2 linked regions of the Danio rerio genome follow. The protein of the gene in region 1 purifies or fractionates together with the protein of each later gene. This does not show direct contact. Links are inferred from orthologs where the notes say so. Each region holds a gene or a part of one and is shown in the gene's direction. Other genes may lie near its edges.

Evidence for each region.
Region 2: the proteins of uqcrfs1 (region 1) and lyrm7 purify together in Homo sapiens (co-immunoprecipitation; 5 studies listed by BioGRID and IntAct, with this or other methods). This does not show direct contact. The link is inferred for Danio rerio from reciprocal best matches to the Homo sapiens genes UQCRFS1 and LYRM7.

Annotation. Positions count from the first base shown.
Region 1 is NC_133182.1:45,938,241-45,948,880, forward strand, and holds uqcrfs1 (cytochrome b-c1 complex subunit Rieske, mitochondrial), read left to right. Parts: upstream 1-3,793; 5' UTR 3,794-3,832; coding exon 3,833-4,043; intron 4,044-5,452; coding exon 5,453-6,063; 3' UTR 6,064-6,594; downstream 6,595-10,640.
Region 2 is NC_133185.1:5,434,146-5,444,860, forward strand, and holds lyrm7 (complex III assembly factor LYRM7), read left to right. Parts: upstream 1-4,874; 5' UTR 4,875-4,891; coding exon 4,892-4,912; intron 4,913-5,135; coding exon 5,136-5,208; intron 5,209-5,525; coding exon 5,526-5,596; intron 5,597-7,032; coding exon 7,033-7,114; intron 7,115-9,252; coding exon 9,253-9,323; 3' UTR 9,324-9,574; downstream 9,575-10,715. Other genes in the region: mat2al (methionine adenosyltransferase II, alpha-like), read right to left, coding at 10,376-10,478.

The DNA of each region.
Region 1 (10,640 bases):
AAGGAGAGGAGCTAGATAGCCTTCAAACAGAGATTTTTCAGGACCTTAACCAAAAGGTAAGAAATTTTCCCAGAATACACCATCTACAATGGTAGCTTGGCTGGTAATGGATTCTTAATAGCGCTTGTATTTCACCATCATGCTTAAAAAACTCAGCTAAAATAAAAACTGCAAAATTTAGCCCCACAACATTCTGTCACTCAATGACACTCGAATACCCTGTCTGATAAGTCTAATGGCTGGGAATGAGCTTTTTATAGTGTCTGGTGTAATGTTAATGTTGTTTTTATTTGTTTACATAGATGGATATGGCCACGGTGTAAGTGCACAGTACAGATACAAGTTTATAGCCACATTATATAGTATGATGACATGATATATGCCTTTAGTGATTTTCGGAAGATAAATGCCCAAAAGCAACACAACTAGAATAACTACAGCAGTCATGATCGTCTGATCTCATATAAAGCAAGAGATTGCGATGACATATGATGATGTGTGCAGATGTTGTAGTGCTGTTCCATGTCTTGGGGGGTACATTTTGAACCCCTTCCCCTTCACACTCAAGGGGCAAGGGGAATATGAAGGACAAAAATAATACAATAATAGAATTGGGATTGGGCCAAAATGTTGATATGTTACAATTTTTCTTATAGCCTGGAAAATGTCTAATGGTGGAGTGGTTTCAGTAGAGTTTAAGCAAACAGTCTACTGATACTCTAAAATAATTAATTGATATGTAGTTTCAATATTACATAGTCATTAAAATGTGCAATTTGGACAAAGTGATATCAAAATAAAATAATTGTATACACAAACACTGAATCAAAAACTATTAATAGTTAAACAAATAAATGTAAAAAAAAGAATAATTCGGAATTTTTCATATTAAAGATCATGTATGTAAATAAACATACTTTTTTTTGGCAAATTACTATTTATGTATTTTTTTTCTGTTTGTCTGTAAAAGTGCCGGGCGTCACGGTGATGCAAAGGGTGAAACGATTGCCTCACATCAAGAAGGTCACTGGTTCGAACCCGGTTGAATCAGTTGGCATTTCTGTGTGGTACGGGTGAATTGAATAAGCTAAATTGGCCATTGAGTATGTGTAAGAATGAGATGATGTATGGGTGTTTCCCAATGTTGGGTTGTACCTGGAAGGGCATCCTCTGTGTAAAACATATGCTGGATAAGTTGGTGGTGCATTCCGATGTGGCGATTCCTGGTTAATAAAAGGACTGAGCCAAAAAGAAAATGAATAAAAGTAAAAACGCCATCTACAGGTACTTCTCTAAACAGATGCATTTCAAATTTTTTACCACAGCACAGAATAATTGCTTGCTGGTGTAATTATAAACACAATTATTTTGCTAATTATCATTTGATTTAATTTTTTGTGCCTTATTTTAGCTAGTTATAATTTTTCATGTATTGTGGATTTTTTTTTATTATAGCAGTGAACTTATTTTTTATTTTATTGTTATTATTATCAGTGCTATAACATTGCAACACACTAATAACCTTGGTGTGTATATGCTTCATGCCTGATTATAGTTTTTATGAAGTATTTCAAAACTGCATATAAGGCATCTGAATGTATGTGGATAACTTTTCTGGGCCTGTTTTCTGAAATCATTCACATGCATTTTAATTTACTTCTGTCTCTGTGAAGAATTAGAGCTCTAGTTGGAACTAGATGTCCTTTTCTAATAAACGTAATAAGCAGGCATGTAGAAACAGCAAATGTCAAGAGTGATACAGCGTATACAGTATGGAGAGCGCCCGAGCCAAACTGCATACTCATAGATTAAAAGTGTCAATAGAGTTTATTTTCAGTTGACAGAGAAGGAATTGTGGCCTCAAATAGCTGGGACTCAATTGCAAGCAAACCGCATCACATTGATCAAAGCTGATGCCGTGGCAACAGCAGGCAGTAAAATCAGACATACTTACTGGATTTATTAAAATGGGCTGCGAGAACTTGACAAGCTGTAACCCAGTCAGTGTAGATAAACAGGAACATACAAATGGGATTGCTTCAGGAAATGTTCATGGAAATAGTCTTTTGTAATATCCAGCAGTATGCAAATCCAGTTCGTAAATGTTTGGGTACTGCCATGGTAGGGAGTGAAAGACTAAATGAAAGAAGGAACCTTGGAGGAAAATCTGCCTTGTGGTCACATTCACAGCTCCATGGCAAAAATTCATGGGCAAAATCCAGTCACTCAGTGGGAATCCTTTCGATGTAGAGTTTAATGTGAGGGCAAAAAAGAGTTCCCCACATGGTTTGTTTTCAGGTTGGTAACCAATTTTACAAGTTGACTATCATAGAGCTGCTTAGTTTGAGAGCGATTGCCACACTATTGACCGCAGAAATTTTTGACTGAATTTTCACTTGTAAAATCCAGCAATTTCATAAGAAACACATATAATTAGTGCAAAATATTTTGCAATAGGTTTAAGTTGAAAATGCAAAAGTGCCACATTGACCAACACAAAGCTGCTCACTTTTTTAAGTTGAGTTGTCCTTAAATAAATAAAGGAATGAATGAATGATTAAAATAATGAATGAATGAATGAATGAATGAATGAATGAATGAATGAATGAATGAATGAATGACTTCCTTATAAAATTAATAAATAAAAAACATATTATTAACAAAAAAACTATTATTATTATCATTATTATCATTAATGTTATCATTATTATTATTATTATTATATTCAGAACATTTCTCAGTAATGGGTTGCAGCTGGAAGGGCATCTGCTGCATAAAACATAAGCTGGATAAGTTGGTGTTTCATTCAGCTGTGGCGACCACAGATTAATAAAGGAAAGTCGAAATGAAAATAAATGAATAAATATTCAGAACAATCATTGTTTTTATATCGTTGTTTTTTAATAATGTGTTTTTGTAAAGGCACATTTTTATATTGTTTTTACAAACATATGTTCAATTTCCTAATGCTTTTTTTTAATGTATAATTATTTATTTATTCATTTTATTTTATTTTGACATGTCAGATGCTTCACTATACAACTTTTTTTTACTTCTGATCTGTTAAGTAATGATTAAGCAAACATTTATCCAAACTCAAAGTAACTACCATGGTAATATATAGGAACAACCAGGTGAGCAAATTTTTAATTTGATTTAAATGCAGGAAAAAAGTTTGAGGGGTAATTTCTTATTTATTTATTAAGTTATTTTATTTTATTGACTTCAATAACAAACACAAACTTTGACCTTACACAAACAAGTCAATAATAGTAGCAATTGTAATAGGTTAACAGATCAAACAGTAAACATTAAAAACAGGAACAAAAATTAAAAACTAAATAGCCACACATACATAACACAAATACAGCAAAAGGAAAGAAGGACTTATCTGTGATATTTCCAAAATAATTATCATAATAATCCAAGAATCACTTTTTTGTTTTTAACCAATCTAAGAGATTTAATGAAAATATACATTTTTATTATAAAATGTGGAAAAAAAAGAAGGCTGTGAATGCGAAAATTTTTGTTCGTGACTAAAATATTTTCCATACAAAATAAAAAAGTTAGTAATTCTCTGGTATATCGAATTACCGTTATAGTATAAAAATAATAAACTAAACATTTATACTCCATATATAGAAGTAACTTGGTGAACAACCTCTTTAATTAGATTTTTGAAGCTAGATGCAAGTAAAAGTTTGAGGAAGAAAAATTCTTACGTGTCAACACCCCGTGACTGTGACCGTTGAAATCAGGACTGCGCATGCGTCAGTTGTGTCACTAGAATACACCGGGAAGGTCGACGGAGCGCTGCTAGCCGACAAACATGATGTCCATTGCTGCCCGTTCGGGGACTTTTTCCCCGTACCTGCAAGCTACAAATTATGCCGTGGCAGGTCCACTAAAGCCTCTCATAGCCGGCGTCGTCGTGAAGAGTGATAATCTGTTGGTGGACACGAAGAAACCGTTCCTGTGCCGGGAGTCCTTGTCCGGTCAGAGCGCGAAGAGCGGCCTCGCCGTGTCCTCCAGCCTGAACGGTGAGTTTAATAGCGGGCCTCAGTCAATTCGAGATTCCCGGTCTCTGTAGCAAGAGGAGGCCGTGCAGCTAGCGCGCACTCAAGGGCACAGTGAACTCTCATGATTAACGTTGATGTGCTTCGTCAAGTGTCTCAAGAATTTTGTAGTGTTGTACGTTACTAATGCCGAAGTATTATTATTGCAAAGTTTATTTAATACCAACGTATATAACAAAACGGCAGTAGCAGTAGCTCACGTGCTACATCCGTTAGCTTCATTGCTAATGTCCTTGCAGCAGCTAAGACTAGAAGTAAATCAATGTCTGTCTTTTGGGGGGGAAAAAAATAATTGTCATTTAGCCTCACTTTGTACGAATTACGAATGTTATAATAAAATAATTAAGTACGTTTTAGAATTCGGTTCATTTCATTTATGGTTTTGGGTTAAATATAACGTTAGGTAACGTTATTGGGTTTATTATATGACACAACGTCAGGCCTCTTGTTACAAATTTTTGATGTGGATTTCTGTTGCAAATAGATATTTAGATGTTATGTTTCATCAACGTCGGAGTTGAATATTAAGCTGAATATACTGGACATTTGTCAAGTTTTCGACATTCACAGCCACAGTGACCTCCCTTCCTTTAAACTTGTATATGTATGTATGTGTGTGTATATATATATATATATATATATATATATATATATATATATATATATATATATATATATATAAAACATAAGGTGGCTTTTTAAATCAGGCCTTGAGATATGCATGTGTTCATGTTGTCATTGTAGTGACACTGAAATCACCATGAGCATCACAGGTGTCTGCAATTTATTCGTTCAGAGATTTGTCAAGTTGTAGTTTGATATTCAGAAAAGATTTATGTGCCACACTATATTTACTATGTTTATTTATATTATATAAAATAATGATGATAAACAATATATACACACACACACAAACATGTATATTATACATAGAGGTAAAATTGGTTTTATATCCGCACATTCTGACTTTCTCCTTAATAATATAATTTCATAAAAGTATTATTTGCAAAATCTGTATAGTGAAATCATATTAGCAGCCAATGACTATAAAAGTACAACATTGTTCACAGTCAAATAAACAGTGTTAATGTTGTTTTCAAATCACACTTGCAGGTTATTTTAGACCGAATATTTTAAGTGCTATAGTAAACAATAAAGGGAGTTGTCACTGAATAAATGTGTTAATATAAAACCAACTTTACCTCTGTTTTATATGGGATCTGCTTTATTATTATTTGCATCGTGGAACTCATAGGGCCGTATGTCAGTTTATTGTTCTGCTACTATTTCATGTGCCATTCAATGCACATTTTTTAGTATTTCTAATCTGTTTATTTAGTTCTGTTATTATTGTTTGTTTTTCCATTTTGTAGCTCGCTCTTCAGTACGCTTCGCTCACACAGACATCAAGATCCCTGATTTCTCTGACTACCGCCGGCCAGAAGTTTTGAACCCAAATAAGCAGTCGCAAGAGAGTGGTGATGCCCGGCGGGCCTTCTCCTATCTGATGACGGGGTCTACCCTTGTGGTTGGAGTCTATACAGCCAAGACAGTCGTTACACAGTTTGTGTCCTCTATGAGTGCCTCAGCTGACGTTTTGGCTTTGTCCAAGATTGAAATCAAGCTGGCAGACATCCCTGAGGGTAAGAACATGACCTTCAAATGGAGAGGGAAGCCCCTGTTTGTCCGCCACAGAACAGAGAAGGAGATCGAGACTGAGGCTGGCGTCAATCTCGCTGAGCTTCGGGACCCTCAGCACGACAAAGACCGTGTTGTGAACCCGTCCTGGGTTATCGTCATTGGTGTCTGCACCCATCTGGGCTGTGTGCCTATTGCTAATGCCGGTGAATTCGGCGGTTATTACTGCCCGTGCCACGGCTCTCATTATGATGCATCTGGTCGCATCAGGAAAGGCCCTGCTCCGCTCAATCTGGAGGTGCCCTACTATGAGTTCCCAGATGACGACACAGTGGTTGTAGGATAAAGGACTGTACTACATTAACTATGATCCACACAGACCGTGTGCTTTGCGTGTTTGATTTTTGTTCATCTTGTTTCAGACACACTATCTGCATTGACTCGATGGGTAACAAAGGTTAATTGTAAGTAATAAAATGTATTTTATCTGATGGAATCTTCACTCAGCTCTATTTATTCAGACTCGATATACAAATTGTTTAACGGAGTCACTTGGGTTGTCTAATTTTATGCATTGCAGGTTTTTCAGATAAGGAACAAATTAGATCTGTAGGATATAATTGTTAAAGTGATGTTGGCAAAAACAACAAAGTCAGGTGGGTGATGTGTGCAGGGAGTAGGTGGAAAACAAAGTGCAGTTTACCATACATAATCAATGAAATAGCTTTTGCACCAATATTTTGTCATTGGTAAATGTAATAACTGTTTGAGGCTAGGTTTCAGATGAAACCATTAAAAAGAGTGAAATATGGACACGTTGAGTGTTCTGTTCCTGATTGTCTGTGGGTAAACCACTTTAGTAAAGCTGAAAAAAATATTCACCAGGTTCATGCTGTCTTTTACATTTCTTAAAAATCTATTTTAAGACATAAAAAAGATAAAACCAAATCTATGATGCATGTGAGAATATGATGATTGTGGTAATCATGATTGATTTTAAACGCATTAAAAAGCAAAGACTGAACAAGAACAAGATGTTTTATTTGCTCTACGGGCCATACTGACTTGATATCTGCAGTCATTTCAAATTCAGGAACAGTTTTATTTAATGAGTGTGCATCAGTTTAAAGCTACATGTTTACAAAGGAAAAAAAGCAAACAATGTTTTATTTATTTATTTTTATGCTTCTACCGTCATTGATTACTCCCACAGCACTAGTCCAGGTAGCCACAAAACATTAATTGATTTTATTGGCGTTAGCCCTTTTTCTCTTCCCTCTTCCTCAATTAGCTTTTAGTGTTTAAAAGTAGAAAACAAAAAGCTCACAGGCCATTCTGAAAAAGTGGACTACAGATTTTACACTAATTTATCATTCAACATTTTGAGGCCTTGCCACCAAAACAGAAGCCTTTTGTTAAATAATGTAAGAACTTTGTTTAAATGCTACTGGGTTGTAATTTTCAATTTGGGACATATTTTGAAATATCGCAACAAGTATTCTAGTATACTATTTTGTTCTGACTAGAAATATGGAGAATCCTTATTTAACATACAAATAAAATACATGTTTATAAGGATGCACAATGGTTAAAATTGATTCTAATAATCTCAATATGTAAAGCAAAACAGGACAGTTTGTCTTGAATGAAAGTCGTTCTTTTGATTTCACGTGATTGAAGTGGCATCAATTAAACATGAAATACTTAAAGCTAAGAAGCTAATGCATCTTGTACATTTGAATTGGAATCTCAATATGAATTGCATGCGTTTACTATTCTGCCATTTTTTTATTTATTTTTTCAGAAACCCAGAGTTTCCACATGAAGTCAATTGCTATATACTTGTAATGTGCTCTTGTGAGGCGACACAAAGACAGGTAAACAGTAGCGTTCCTCTCATCCAGATATTATTTGAATAGACGTTTCAGGGCCATATTATCATATAGAGTAGCTTTTCTCCGTGGGTGCATTTGTGTTTGAATGTCTGAGAAATGCGTCGGACATGTCTGCGGGTTAATAGAGTTGATATGCTCCTTTGCTGGGCTGCACAGAGCTTCAGTAGACCTTCGAGGTGAAACCGTTAATTCATACCAGCATATTGATGCCACTTGACTCGGGCACAAAGCATACGCTTCATCTGGAACATTTTGTGTAACCTAACAATTCAGGTTTGCCTTTTTATGATTGTGCCACTTCTATTACTTCTATTAGCTTGTCTTTTTTTTTTTTTTTTTTTTTTTTTAAACATCTTTTTCACTGAATGCATCTAGGTATCGCCTGAACATTCACTGATTTCATTTTCTTGCAAGCTCTGGGTATTTTAATATATTTAATTCACTTGATTGCCGTTTTCTCTGCCTTCCTCTGAGCATCCACTACTTATGACATGCAACCTGCTCAGTCGTCCTGGAGTCCTCAGCTCATGCCAGGTCTTGCTGCCAGCAGCTTGGCCGACATTCAGGCCTGACTGATAAAATCACGAGGTCCCGGGGGTTGTCAGGGTACCATTGTGTATCAGCGGAAAATCACGGAGATCCCTGGCTCCAACATACTTATTTAGTATCCAACAGCAATCACTTTATTGGACTAATTTCTGGGCAAAAAGTCAGTCGGAAGGAAATAATTTTCACATTTTACTTTCTTTTATTAGTTTAACCCTTGCTCTGTTCAAACATCCACTAAATTAAACAAAAAATGCATTAGATTATTATCTATTATTAATTATCTGTTAATCAACCTCAGTCCTGATCAAGACTACTAAATGTTTTTTTGTTTGTTTTTAAATACAGGATTTTAACTCTTTCATTGCCAAGTTTACAAATTATGTCACTGATTTGTTGGGAAAAAAACACATAACATGAAAAATGACATTTTTAATATAAAAGAAATTGTGGACTTTAAGTTTCACATGTTTCTTGGACATGTAAAAGATTAGTAACGGCATTGCCTTTGATGTATTGTTAGTTTTTTTGCAGCATTTAATTTAATTTTTTCTCCCTATTATACTGTTGGTGACTATTTTTGCCCATTAGCTTCCATTATAACCACATTTCGCATTTGCAAAACCATGAAAACTAAACCATCACAAAATGCATATAATCAACATTTTAATTGTTGCTGTTTTTTCCTGTTGGGAAAAGATACAATTTTGTAATGTTTACTGTTTAGCATCGGTTGGCACCATTAAACTTTTAGATAGGTTTGTGAAAAAAAAAAAAAAAGTTTAGTGGGATGATTTTTATGTGGAGTTTTATGAAGTATAACAGCAAATTAAAGTGTGTATGTGTGTCTGAGAGTGTGACAGTGACCTTTGTGTATTTGATGCATCTGAGGAAATCAAACCATCCATCTCATCTCTCAGAACTACATGTAGTAAACAAAATAAAGACTGGTATTTATTCATGGCTCCCTTTTGATGTTGAGAATCATTTACATCATTAATGAATTTGTCAATTAAAGAGTTAAAATTCTGTAATTTTTTTAAACAATTTTGTAGTTTTGATCAAGACTGAAAATGCTTAACAGATTTATGGCAAAAAAATATATATTTTTATATATAAACGTTTTCATCCGGAGTATAACAAGATGTAGTAAATTTGCCCAGAGTGATTTATTTATTTAAGTATTTTCCCAAAATGTGCATCAGAATAAGATTTGTCATCAAAAACCATTCTACTTGCTGAAACTCAGAAACTATTATGGCCAAATTAGGACTCAAAATCAGCCAGGAGTGGATGAAATTTGCATTTGTGTGGTTTTGGACCACTATTATTTTACCTTTATTACTTGAACAAGAGTTAATGTAAGTTGTGCAAATACTAAACTTTGCTTTGGTCGACACTGAATTTGTTCTTTTATCTTTGTTAAAACTAAAAGTAAATAACCCTTACCTTAACTAAACTAAAACTAACAAAACAATATATCTACAAACTACAACAAACTAGTATATCAATGAAACAAACAAAATAAACTGAAATTTACAGTACATTTAACAGTAGCCTTTCAAAATAAAGGCTAATATTAAAATGCAAAACAAAAAGAATTAGAATGAGCTGTACATGGTATGTACAATTCAAGATAAATTAAATTACATGAGCTTATGGTGCATAAATACATTACACAAGACAGAAGGGGATTTGAATTTGTGAGAAAAAGTTAACAATATAAATGTTATTTACAAATTAGTGGCAAAAAGTACACTGTAAAAAAAAAGAATAATCCTGTTGCCTTAATCTTTAAACGGAATCAAATTAACCTCATGAGTCCATTGAACTTCAAGAGTTCACACAGATAATGTTTGACAACTGTGAGCAAGTTAGCAGGTTTGGCGTGCTGCCCCTGAGCTCGGAGGTAGTTGAGCCCAGGGCTCCCGCCTGGTCCATAGAGCATGTGAGGGGAGTACGAGATCAGGTGGTCCTCGGGAGCTTCCTGTGGTTTAGGAGGAGAAGGGGTGGATGGGGGGGTTTCTTTGGTTAACGAAATTAAGGGAGTAGTTCTAACTAGGGTACTTATAATGAGTTTGGATCAATCTGGTTGGTTAGCTAATGCGTGTAGATGAGTGGCCAGCTGCAGTCAATCACATCATGTGCTCCTCTCGAAATTAGTTTGTGAAACTTCACTTATATTATAAACGGGCTTAAAACAGCTTAATAATAATAATAATACATTTTATTTATAATGTGCTTTTCTCAGTACCAAAGCGCTAATAGGCAAACGAGGCAAACAATGCAGAACAGTAAAAACAGACAAAAATAAAATAAATAAAAGACCACAATAAAAGCTTGAATAACTTAAAAAATTAAGTTAGAATATGATTAACTTCGTTTAATATGTTACAATGAACTAAAACATGCTGTCACGACTAATTAGTCATATTTTATTTTACAGTGTAAAAATAAGGGTACTGTATTGTTTATGACCACA
Region 2 (10,715 bases), on another chromosome or scaffold:
TCACATAAATTATTTGAAACAATAAAATAGACAAGTACTTCGCTTTATGAAATTGAACTTGATGCAGACACCAAAATGGCCCGAGTCCATAATAAAGCAAAACAGAAGAAAAAAAATCTAAAATACACTCATCTTTTGAATTAGACAACAAAACTATATTCTGTTATAATATCCAATAAATAAGCCACAGTGCAGCTGACAACAACAAACAAACAAATAAATCAGTGCTATAACGAGCAGTAGCTCAAGAACGGCTCTTCTGTGTTATGTGAAGCACAATAAACTATTGACTTGAACAGCATCAGGGATTCTGTACCAAGCTCAACCCAGCTCTATTGTACAGCAAGAATTCACACATGATATACAGCCTGCCAGTGTTCTCTCAGTATTATATGCAGTTGATAAATAAACATATGAAATATGAGCAATAACAATTAATAACTGATAGATAATAGATATCAAATACATTTTTTTTTATCTGTGTGAACTGCAAGTTTCTGCAGATCGTAACGGGCCATGAAACCCCCTTGTTTCAGCAGGGTGTTTTCACACCTCTACTTTGGAAAAAAGTGGGCGTGTCCAGCTCTGTTTAGGGGGGAGTGTCGGAGGAGGGAAAAAGGCAAGGTCCGTAAAAATTTGCATAATTAGCAGCCAATGACTAGCAAAGTACGGCATTGCTTACAGTCTATCAGATAGTGTTGATGTTGTTTTGAAGTCATCCTCGCATGCTAATTCTGATTGAATATTCAAATTAGCGTGGAAGACAATATAGAGACTTCTAAATGAACGAATGTGCGAATATGAAACCAACTTTACCTCAATCATATCATGTCATAGTTTAGAAATCATATATCAAACTATTGATTTTTTCCGAAATCAGTCAGTTGTGAAGAAGAGTTAAAGTTGGCTTCATATTGGGATATTTAGACATTCTGCTTAATAATATAATATTAGAAAAGTATTCTTTGCAAATTCTAAATTGGGAAATCATATTAGCAGCCAATGACTAGCAAAGTACAGCCATGTTTACAGTCAATCAGATAGTGTTGATGTTGTTTTGAAGTCATCCTCGCATGCTAATTCTGATTGAATATTGAAATTAGCGTGGTAGACAATATAGAGACAACAAAATGAACGAATGTGCGAATATAAAACCAACTTTACCTCAATCAAATTGTGAAATGTTGTGTATGAATTACAAGAAATGTCAAATTGTTTGACAAAAACTCAAAATAATCTCAAATGAAATTAATGGTGTTACAATTATGATGAATCTGGTCAAAATTGGTAATTGTAAAGTTTGATGAAAACACCGTTATTTAGGGTAAGAAACAAACAAGTAGAGGTAAAGTTTGTTTTATATTCGCACATTCGTTAATTTAGAAGTTTCTATATTGTTTGGCATGTTACTTTGAATATTCGATCGGAATTAGCATGCAAGTTTGACTTCTAAACAACATTAACACTATCTAATTCACTGTGAACAATGTTGTACTTTGCTGCTAATATTCATTCATTTTCTTGTCGGCTTGGTCTCTTTATTAATCCGGGGACGCCACAGCGGAATGAACCGCCAACTTATCCAGCAAGTTTTTACGCAGCGGATACCCTTGCAGCCGCAACCCATCTCTGGGAAATGCTGCTAATATAATTTCCCTATTTATAATTTGCAAAATACACTTTTCTGAAATTATATTATTAAGGGAATGTCTGAATATCCGAATATAAAACCACCGTTACCTCTACAGACATTAGTATGTTATAATTGACGACACGCATAATATCCATATGGTGCAAATGAATGAAACTCCGCTGTTTTCTCTTAGTGACTGTATCAACACGCCTACAGTTACTTTTCTCGACACAATACAGTTAACTTAACGGACACATGACCCGCTGTCGCCACCGCACATCTATACTGTTGCTGTTTAACGGAGCAGCTTGTCCAAACCCACTCGAGTTGCCCGGAGTCTCACACAGAGCCGCGAGGGTGTTTGGGAGACCGCGCCGCGCTGCTCACCTTCTCTCCGGGGTTCAGCACATCTGGGCTGCGGCTCCGTGCGCTCTCCTCGGCGGACAGAGGGTGGCAGATCTCCTGGATGGACTTCTGCCCGGAGGAGGGCAGTGATCGCGGGGTACCGCCGTTGCTCATGGCGCTGCACTGCTCTGATCGCGCAGCTGTTTTTATTTCACTGCCGCACGAACCGAACCGAGGAGCCAAACATCTGTCAGCTGACGGACACCGCGCAGAACCGGAACACAACCGGTCAGCTGACGCGGAACACTTCCGGAAAAAAAGCACCTGTTTTCAAATTAAAAGCCCAACTTTTTCGCTTAAAAGTCTTCAAATATTCTGATGGTTTATTTGACTTTTTATTATTAACAATAGGCGAAGCGGTGGCACAGTGGGTGGTGCTGCGGTCACTTCACAGCTAGAAGGTCACTGGTTCGAGCCTCGGCTGGTTCAGTTGGTATTTCTGTGTGGAGTTTGTATGTTCTCCACGTGTTTGGTAAGTTAAATTGTCTGTAGTGTACGTGCGTGAATGAGAGTGTATGGAGGTTTTCCAGTGATGGGTTGCGGCTGGAAGTGCATCCGCTGCATAAAACATATGCTGGATAAGTTGGCGGTTCATTCCGCTGTGGCGACCCCAGATTAATAAAGGGACTAAGCCGAGAAGAAAATGAATGAATGTTATTCTTAATTTATTAACTAAATTAGCTGGATAAGTTGGAGGTTCATTCCACTGTGGCGACCCCAAATTAATAAAGGGACTAAGCCGAAATGAATGAATGAATGAATAAAGATTTGTTTGCGATAAATAATAGTTTTATTTTAATTTTATTTTAATAATAGTTTTATTTTAATAATAGTTTTATTTTAATTTTATTTTAATAATAGTTTTATTTTAATTTTTCGCATTTGCGCAGTTCTGAACAGCAGGTGTCGCTAGTGTCTGAGTTCTGAACGCTTCGAATCCCTGAATCATTTGGCAAAGCTGCTGATTCGAATCTTTGAGGAAAAAAAGCTTCGTTTCTCCCTTCACTAGGCGGCAGTGATGTGTTACTGTGACTGAAGAAAACACAGAGGAAACAAAAGCAGAAGAAACACTCCCTCCATGTGGACGTGGTCTGTTTCTGGAGAAGCTTGAGCTGGCAGTCGCGAGAGTAAGGTATGTTATAGGAATTTATTTGTAAATGTAGAGAGAGTAACATTAACGTTACATTTAGCCGACTGTTTTTGTTGTTATGTGCATAAATATTGATTTTCTTTTATCTGACCCAATGATTAAACACACTACCCATCTGACCCTGAGCAGGGGAAAGATTTAGTTTACTCTTATATGAGGGTCAGTTTAATAACATATTTTTGTTAAAAGCATGAAAGTGGTTTTATTTTGGTTTTATTTACTGAAATGTTTTCTTCGTTGTGTTTCATTTTCAGACAAAGGATCGAGTGTCCGGGCGAGAAACACGTGCGCCAGATTCAGCTCATCTCTTAATAAACGTTTTATAAAATATAAATGTTCCCTTTCTTGTGTTGTGGTGTTTAATTTGTACTTTTATGCTGTTCTGGTCTGTGAAATCCAATAAATTTGTTTTTTAACACATTTGTGTTGGTATTGCGTGAATTATGTTCCCTACAAAGACTTGTTTAAGTTATACACTTTGCAAACTAATTGCAAGTCTTACAAAGTGCAATGTGATTTGTTTAAATAGATAGATAGATTTAGAGAAATAGATCTCTCCCTCTCTCTCTCTCTCTCTCTCTCTCTCTCTCTCTCTCTCTCTCTATATATATATATATATATATATATATATACATACACATACAGGGTGGGTATGGATACACCTTAATAAACTTATTAGGAATTTCACAAGATGATTGTGTGCTTAGTTTTAAATGTAGCTTCATTCTTTCGTGTGTTATTTACAAACCCCCTCACATATAATAAAGTGCCACAAACAGGACGTTGATATCACCAACCTTTCCCATTTTATTAAGGTGTATCCATATAAATTGCCCACCCTGTGTGTGTGTGTGTATATATATATATATATATATATATATATATATATATATATATATATATATATGTGTGTGTGTGTCTATATATATATGTGAGTGTATGTATATATGTACAGTATATACACCACACAAAGCATCGTGGTGTACGATAAAAGTTTTCTATTTAAAAGTTTTTTTCTATTTCGAATTTGGCATCCTACAACACAACATGTTTTCGTTTACCTGTGTGACGTAGGTTGGTATTTCCTTTATAGGTGAATTGAGTTAACTAGAAAGATATATTTCTGTACATTTTTTGCTCTCAATCTTATCGTTAACTTTTTTGTGTTACATTGTACATATTTTTATGCACAAAAAAAAGTTCTCAGACAATAGCTATATTTAATATTTTCTTGGCTGAAATTTGGTTTATTGTTGAATCTCTTAAACTTACTAATAATAAGAAAAATAACATGCTTCTTAAAGCTTATGATGACCATCGATTGAGGCATTGTATGTATATATATATATATATATATATATATATATATATATATATATATATATATATATATATATATATACATACATACATAGTTACTTTACAATTATATTAATAATGTGACGTTTTATTTACCGGTTATATTTCTTTGTTTATATATATATATATATATATATATATATATATATATATATATATATATATATATATATATATATATATATATATATAAGCAAAAAAGATTTTTTAAAAAATAATATAAACAAAAAATATATAAACAAGAAAGCTAAATAAATATAAAAAATCCACTCTTTCTCCAGTCCAGCAGGTGTCGCCGCACAGCCTCACAGTAGCAAACACCTTCTGAAGAACAAGACTTCTGCATGATGGGGACACGCTTGAAGGTGAGAAACAACAGAACTGTACTGTAAATCATTGCTTACTAGAATTATACTGTACATTTATTTGCATTTGATAAGCATAGCAATTAATCGCGAACCTTGTAAATGCCTTTGCTGATGTTAAATTAAATAAAAAGACGAGCACAGATTAATTATATTATAAAATAATGCGTATAATCAATGTTTTCATATTAATAATTATTATTAATATAATGTATTCCATAAGGTGCTCCGGGTGTTCAAAGATCTGCACAGGACCAGAAGAGATGTTTTTAGAGATGATAACAGAGCTCTGACAGGTATCAGCCAGTATTTTAGTCAGCCTTAAACATTATACCTGTAGTATAGTATAGACAGTATCTATTTGTACTTCTCTTATACTGTTTGTAGTTATTGCTTTTTATACACTTGCATTGTCAAATACAAGTTTATTTATTTTATGTGTGGTTCTTTTGTTAGGAATGTTATTTTCCTACAAGATTGTAGTTTCTGTCCTGTTTTTTTTCACTTGTTTATGTTCCAAATCTAAATATTGTCAAATTAATCAATGTTTTATTTATTTAAATAGTGTGTTTGTCTTGTCTCAGTAAGTTTTTTTTCTTCTTTGGCTACGAAGCTGCCAGGGTTAAAATAAATGAAGAATTTAAAAGAAACAAGAATGAAACGTCAGATGATAATATTAAAGAGGTAAGTCCCATAAGAACCCCTGTTTTTGCTTTTTAATGAAAGTTGAATAAATGCGAAAGTTTGCGACTTTTATCTTAAAATTGCAAGTTGCTCTTGGAGGTGCTGGTTCTTAAAAAACTCAAGTACATAATAATAATATTAAATAATATTAATAATAATTCAGGCGAGGCAGTGGAGCAGTAGGCAGTGCTGTCACCTCACAGCAAAAAGGTCACTGGGTCAAGCCTCGGCTCAGTTGGTGTTTCTGTGTGGAGTTTGCATGTTCTCCCTGCCTTCGCGTGGGTTTCCTCTGGGTGCTCCGGTTTCCCCCACAGTCCAAAGACATGCGGTACAGGTAAATTGGGTAGGCTAAATTGTCCGTAGTGTATAAGTGTGTGTGTGGATGTTTCCCAGAGATGGGTTGCAGCTGGAAGGGCATCCGCTGCGTAAAAACTTGCTGGATAAGTTGGCGGTTCATTCCGCTGTGGTGACCCCGGATTAATAAAGGGACTAAGCCGACAAGAAAATGAATGAATGAATAATAATAATTAATTTTATTTGAAAATGGCACCTTTCTAGACACCCAAGGTCGCCTTACAATAAGCGTCAACAGCCATACTAGAACAAATTAAAACATATAATGAAACATTACCAAACAAGCATTGGCCAAACATGTATAAACACACATTGTTAATATAAAAATAACATGATAAAAAACAAAGCCTGCTTAAAAAGATGGGTCTTTAGACGAAATTTAAATGTGTTAAAACTATCACTGCCTCTTAGATCCAGGGGAAGCGAGTTCCACAGAGTTGCACAGAACAACATGAGCATTTATAGCAAATAAACAAATGTAAATATCCCGCTCGGTTTATGAGCCCTGTTGAGCGAGTTCTTACACTCCTATGAACTCGCTCTGCAGACACGCTCGTGTCTGTATCCAGAAGTATCACTGTAACAGCCGAGAGGAGAGGAAAAGTCATGCCAGCAGGTCAAATGTTCACAGTGAGAGAGAGAGAAATGAAGTTTACGTCCATTTTCTCAATCGCAGTGAAATAGAGGCTTCTACTGTTACTTCAGTGTTAGGTAATGACTGTCCAGCAAACACGCAGTGAAGAGTTTCTGCTCTTTAATTACTCGCGGTCGCCTCCCTCGCCATAGTAAGCTGCTCTGAAATAGCACATATAAACTTTCGGCTTGGTTTTTCAGACTTTGCTCACATACGGTTATTAGCGTACTATATAGTATGGAAGTATGCGATTTTGGACTCAAGTTTTTAGCCTTAGTTTTAGCCTTAGTTTCTAAATTGTGAGGGGAAAAGTAGTTTCAAAGTATACAAAGTTTTTGTATTTTTTTTTTTTTAATTCTGTGGCAGACGCATGTTTCTAAAAAACACGAATAATAGGAGAAACAAAGCTTTAAAAAAATGCTAATATTATTTTGCACTTTCTTTTCAGATGCTTAAAATGGCACGAGCGGTTGAGACCATTCTTCGTGAAAGTGTAATCCAGGCAGAGCATGTGGATGAAAATAAAATCGGTACGTAATTATGTAGACCAGTGGTTCTCAAACTTTTTTTACCAAGTACCACCTCAGAAAAAAATATTGCTCCAAGTACCACCATAATGACCTGTTAGCACAGGGATATAAAAACACGGGATACGACCCCAACAACTATTACAAATATGGGGAGGAATTTAGCTTCAAATGATAGAATACATAACAAACATTAGAAAATTAAAAATAAAACAAAAGGTTTAGCCTATTAAAATCAATTTACTAATCACATCAGTGTCATCGTACACGATAAAGGGTTAAAAGTGTTTTTTTTTTTTACTTTAATTATTTAGCGATTACTTCGCGTACCACTTGAAGGAAGCCTGTGTACCACTAGTGGTAGGCGTACCACAGTTTGAGAACCACTGATGTAGACAGTTGTACGTAGACAATAGTTTTTTTGCTGTGAACATCAGCTAGTAGAATTATTTTTAAAGATTGAAACAACATTTATGCTGTGTTCACACCAAACGAGGAACGTTCGAATAAAACGCGTTATTTGCACGTAAATAGACGAGTGAACATTTGAGTTTACGCTCTTAATTGGCGCATCAATATCCGGTTCATTCGCACGTCAAAATCACTTCACAACAGACACTGATTCGCGTGATGGGCAGGGCTTCTGTCTGCCTGGTGACTGTAGCTTCATTGCTAAATGGCTAACATGGATTTTATTAAGCTGTGTTTAGGTGCTTTATGAAGGCTGAAAAACAGCATTGATTTGTTTGGAGCAGTGTCTGGGTCCACTAAATCCTTTCAGAGGTGCACCCAGCTCTGTGAGCTCATAAACTCCTCCAGAAACAACCTGGATGATGGAAGCTTTCAGCGGGGCTTCTGACTGAGCCGAGTAGAGTTTGATAAACTGTTGTCAGTGTAGGCTGGAGGATTTTCCTCCGGTACCTCAACAAAAGGCGCTACGTCATAATCACGCCCCCACAAGAGCAAGCTCCTGATTGGTTAACGCGGCGCGAATGTTAAGTTCAGTTCATATATTCGAACTTGAGTGATTCACTCGAAACGCGTGTTAAGCGCTAAACACTCAATTCACGCTGTGTCATTCGTGCATATCACGCCATTTGCACTGCGTTATTCGCGCGTATCGCACCGCAGGATGTCTGTTCTCACCTTTGCATTGGCTTAACATGTAAATCACTCGCACTTGATGCTTCTTCTGCAACTGGTGTGAACGCAGCATTAGAATCACCCCCTACGTTCACCTCAAATTACCAAAGTCTGTGTGAAATCAAATTTTACAGTGTTTATTTTGCTAGCCCAAAACACCTTGTTATTCTTTAGGTCAGGGGTCACCAATCCTGGTCCTGGAGGGCCGGTGTCCCTGCAGGGTTTAGCTCCATCTTGCCTCAACACACCTGCCTGGATGTTTCAAGTATACCCAGTAAGACCTTAATTAGCTTGTTCAGGTGTGTTTGATTAGGGTTGGAACTAAAATCTGCAGGACATCAACCCTCCAGGAACAAGTTTGGTGACCACTGCTTTAGGTCAATAAACTGTTTTGGTAATCGTCAGTTAAAGTTTAACCATTTGCTTCTGTGTTTGGAGTGGTGGTCCGTCTCTGTTGATGTCAGTTTGGTGGTTTCAGCCACAATATTCTTAGCTATGCCCCTCATAGTTTGCCATGTGAAAGATGGAAAGAAAAGGAAAGCCCCGCCCCTAATCGATATCCTGTTTTAATTGAAAGTAGATCAACAAACTGAAACAAGTCTCAGCAACTACTGGCTCACACCATACCTGCCACTCACCTGATGTGGTAATGCCCATATATCAATCATTATTGGTGGGCGGGGGGACCGCACTCCTACGTCAAGTTACGTTCGGTCTCAAAGCCCCTCTAATTGGTCCACCGTTTTTATGTTGTTAAATTGAAAAAAAAGGACTAGGTGTGTTTATATTACCCCAATATGACGGTCAATACACTATACCTACACACACGTCTGTCCAAACAGCTTGAAAAGTAGATTTTTCACCATAGGTGCCCTTTAAGCAATGTAATAAAATGTTATCAATTGTTATACTTAAGCTAATAAGATGTATAAAGTGTCCAGGTTTTTAAAACTGACTGATTGTTTCCTCTGGCTAAAATGTATTTCTTATATTTGCAGTGTTGCGGCCGCGGAAGAGTCTCCTGCTAGAAAACGTACCTTACTGTGATGCACCCAGTAAAAAGACATGACCCGGATTTACCTGCATGACCCAGGTCTATCTGTGATATTGGACGATGAAACGCAGTCATAAAGATGACTCAGTATTCTTCCATATTTCATTTCCACTGGAATATCACACACAAGCTACAAAAAACGTGTATATTTGGTGAGGCTGATGTTATTGTGCTCAATATAAAGCATTGAATTGCCACTTTGTAAATAGCATTTGTATGGATAAAAGTGTTGAATAAACTGGAAAAGAAAAGGGATTATTCAGACAGAATTGTGTCTCTTTTGTGTGCTAACGTGATTTACATTATGATTTTTCATATTTACCTGTTGCTAACATGTTTATAACATGCTTTAACATCTAGTGAACAGGTTTCGGCACATTGTAAACATGAATTAGCATGTTGCTAACATGTTTCTACCTTGTTTAACATGTTTTCTACATGAATTAGCATCCAAGGGTTAATGTTACACTAGTATGTTTATATTATAAACTTACTAGCCTAACATTAACTTTAACACCTTTATAATGCTTTACCAGTTTTCAGGATACATCATCCATATGCACTGGGACGCATCGTCAGTGGTGTATCCTGGAGTCACTAGTTGTTTCGGGTTTTACATTTATTTACTGAATGCAAGCCACATTATTAAAACACAATAGTTTCTGAAACTTATGACAAAAGTAAATGTTAATTCTGGTAAATATATTTTTTTAATTAATTGAAACATAAAAAATTATGATACAACATCTGTAGGCATAATCGAGGTACCACTTTTAAAGAGGTTTATTACCCTCATGGTCTTCACATTTGTTTATATGGTCCATAAGACGCTGTATTTAAAACAGACAAACAAAAAAAATCACATTTTCCACAATAGTCAACTCATGTCTATTCATTTAAAGAATGTAAAATACTTTTGAAATTTCTCTTAAGGAAATGCCTTTATAGATTAAATCATTTCTGTCATTATTAAGTACATACAAAGTACATCACCACAAAAACAATCATAACCATTAAAACTGAAAGGAATGTGTAGATTCTACAGCACGTCTTCATCTTGAGGGATCTCAGAATATGAGTTTCTTCGGCTTTTCCCAAGGAAATCCTTCACGTCCAAAGTGTCCATAGCAGGCTGTTTTCTGGTAGATTGGTTTCTTTAGATCAAGCTCCCTGTAAAAAGAAATTATTCCTTAATTAAAGCTGTCAAACTTATCATAAGTAAGTTTTAATAAAAACTTCAAACTTATCATAAAAAATTCTGTTGCCTATTTAATAACATGCATATAATATGAAAGGGTAATTTTCCATATTATTCATTCATTCATACATTTTCTTGTCGGCTTATTCCCTTTATTAATCCGGGGTCGCCACAGCGGAATGAACCGCCAACTTATCCAGCAATTTTTT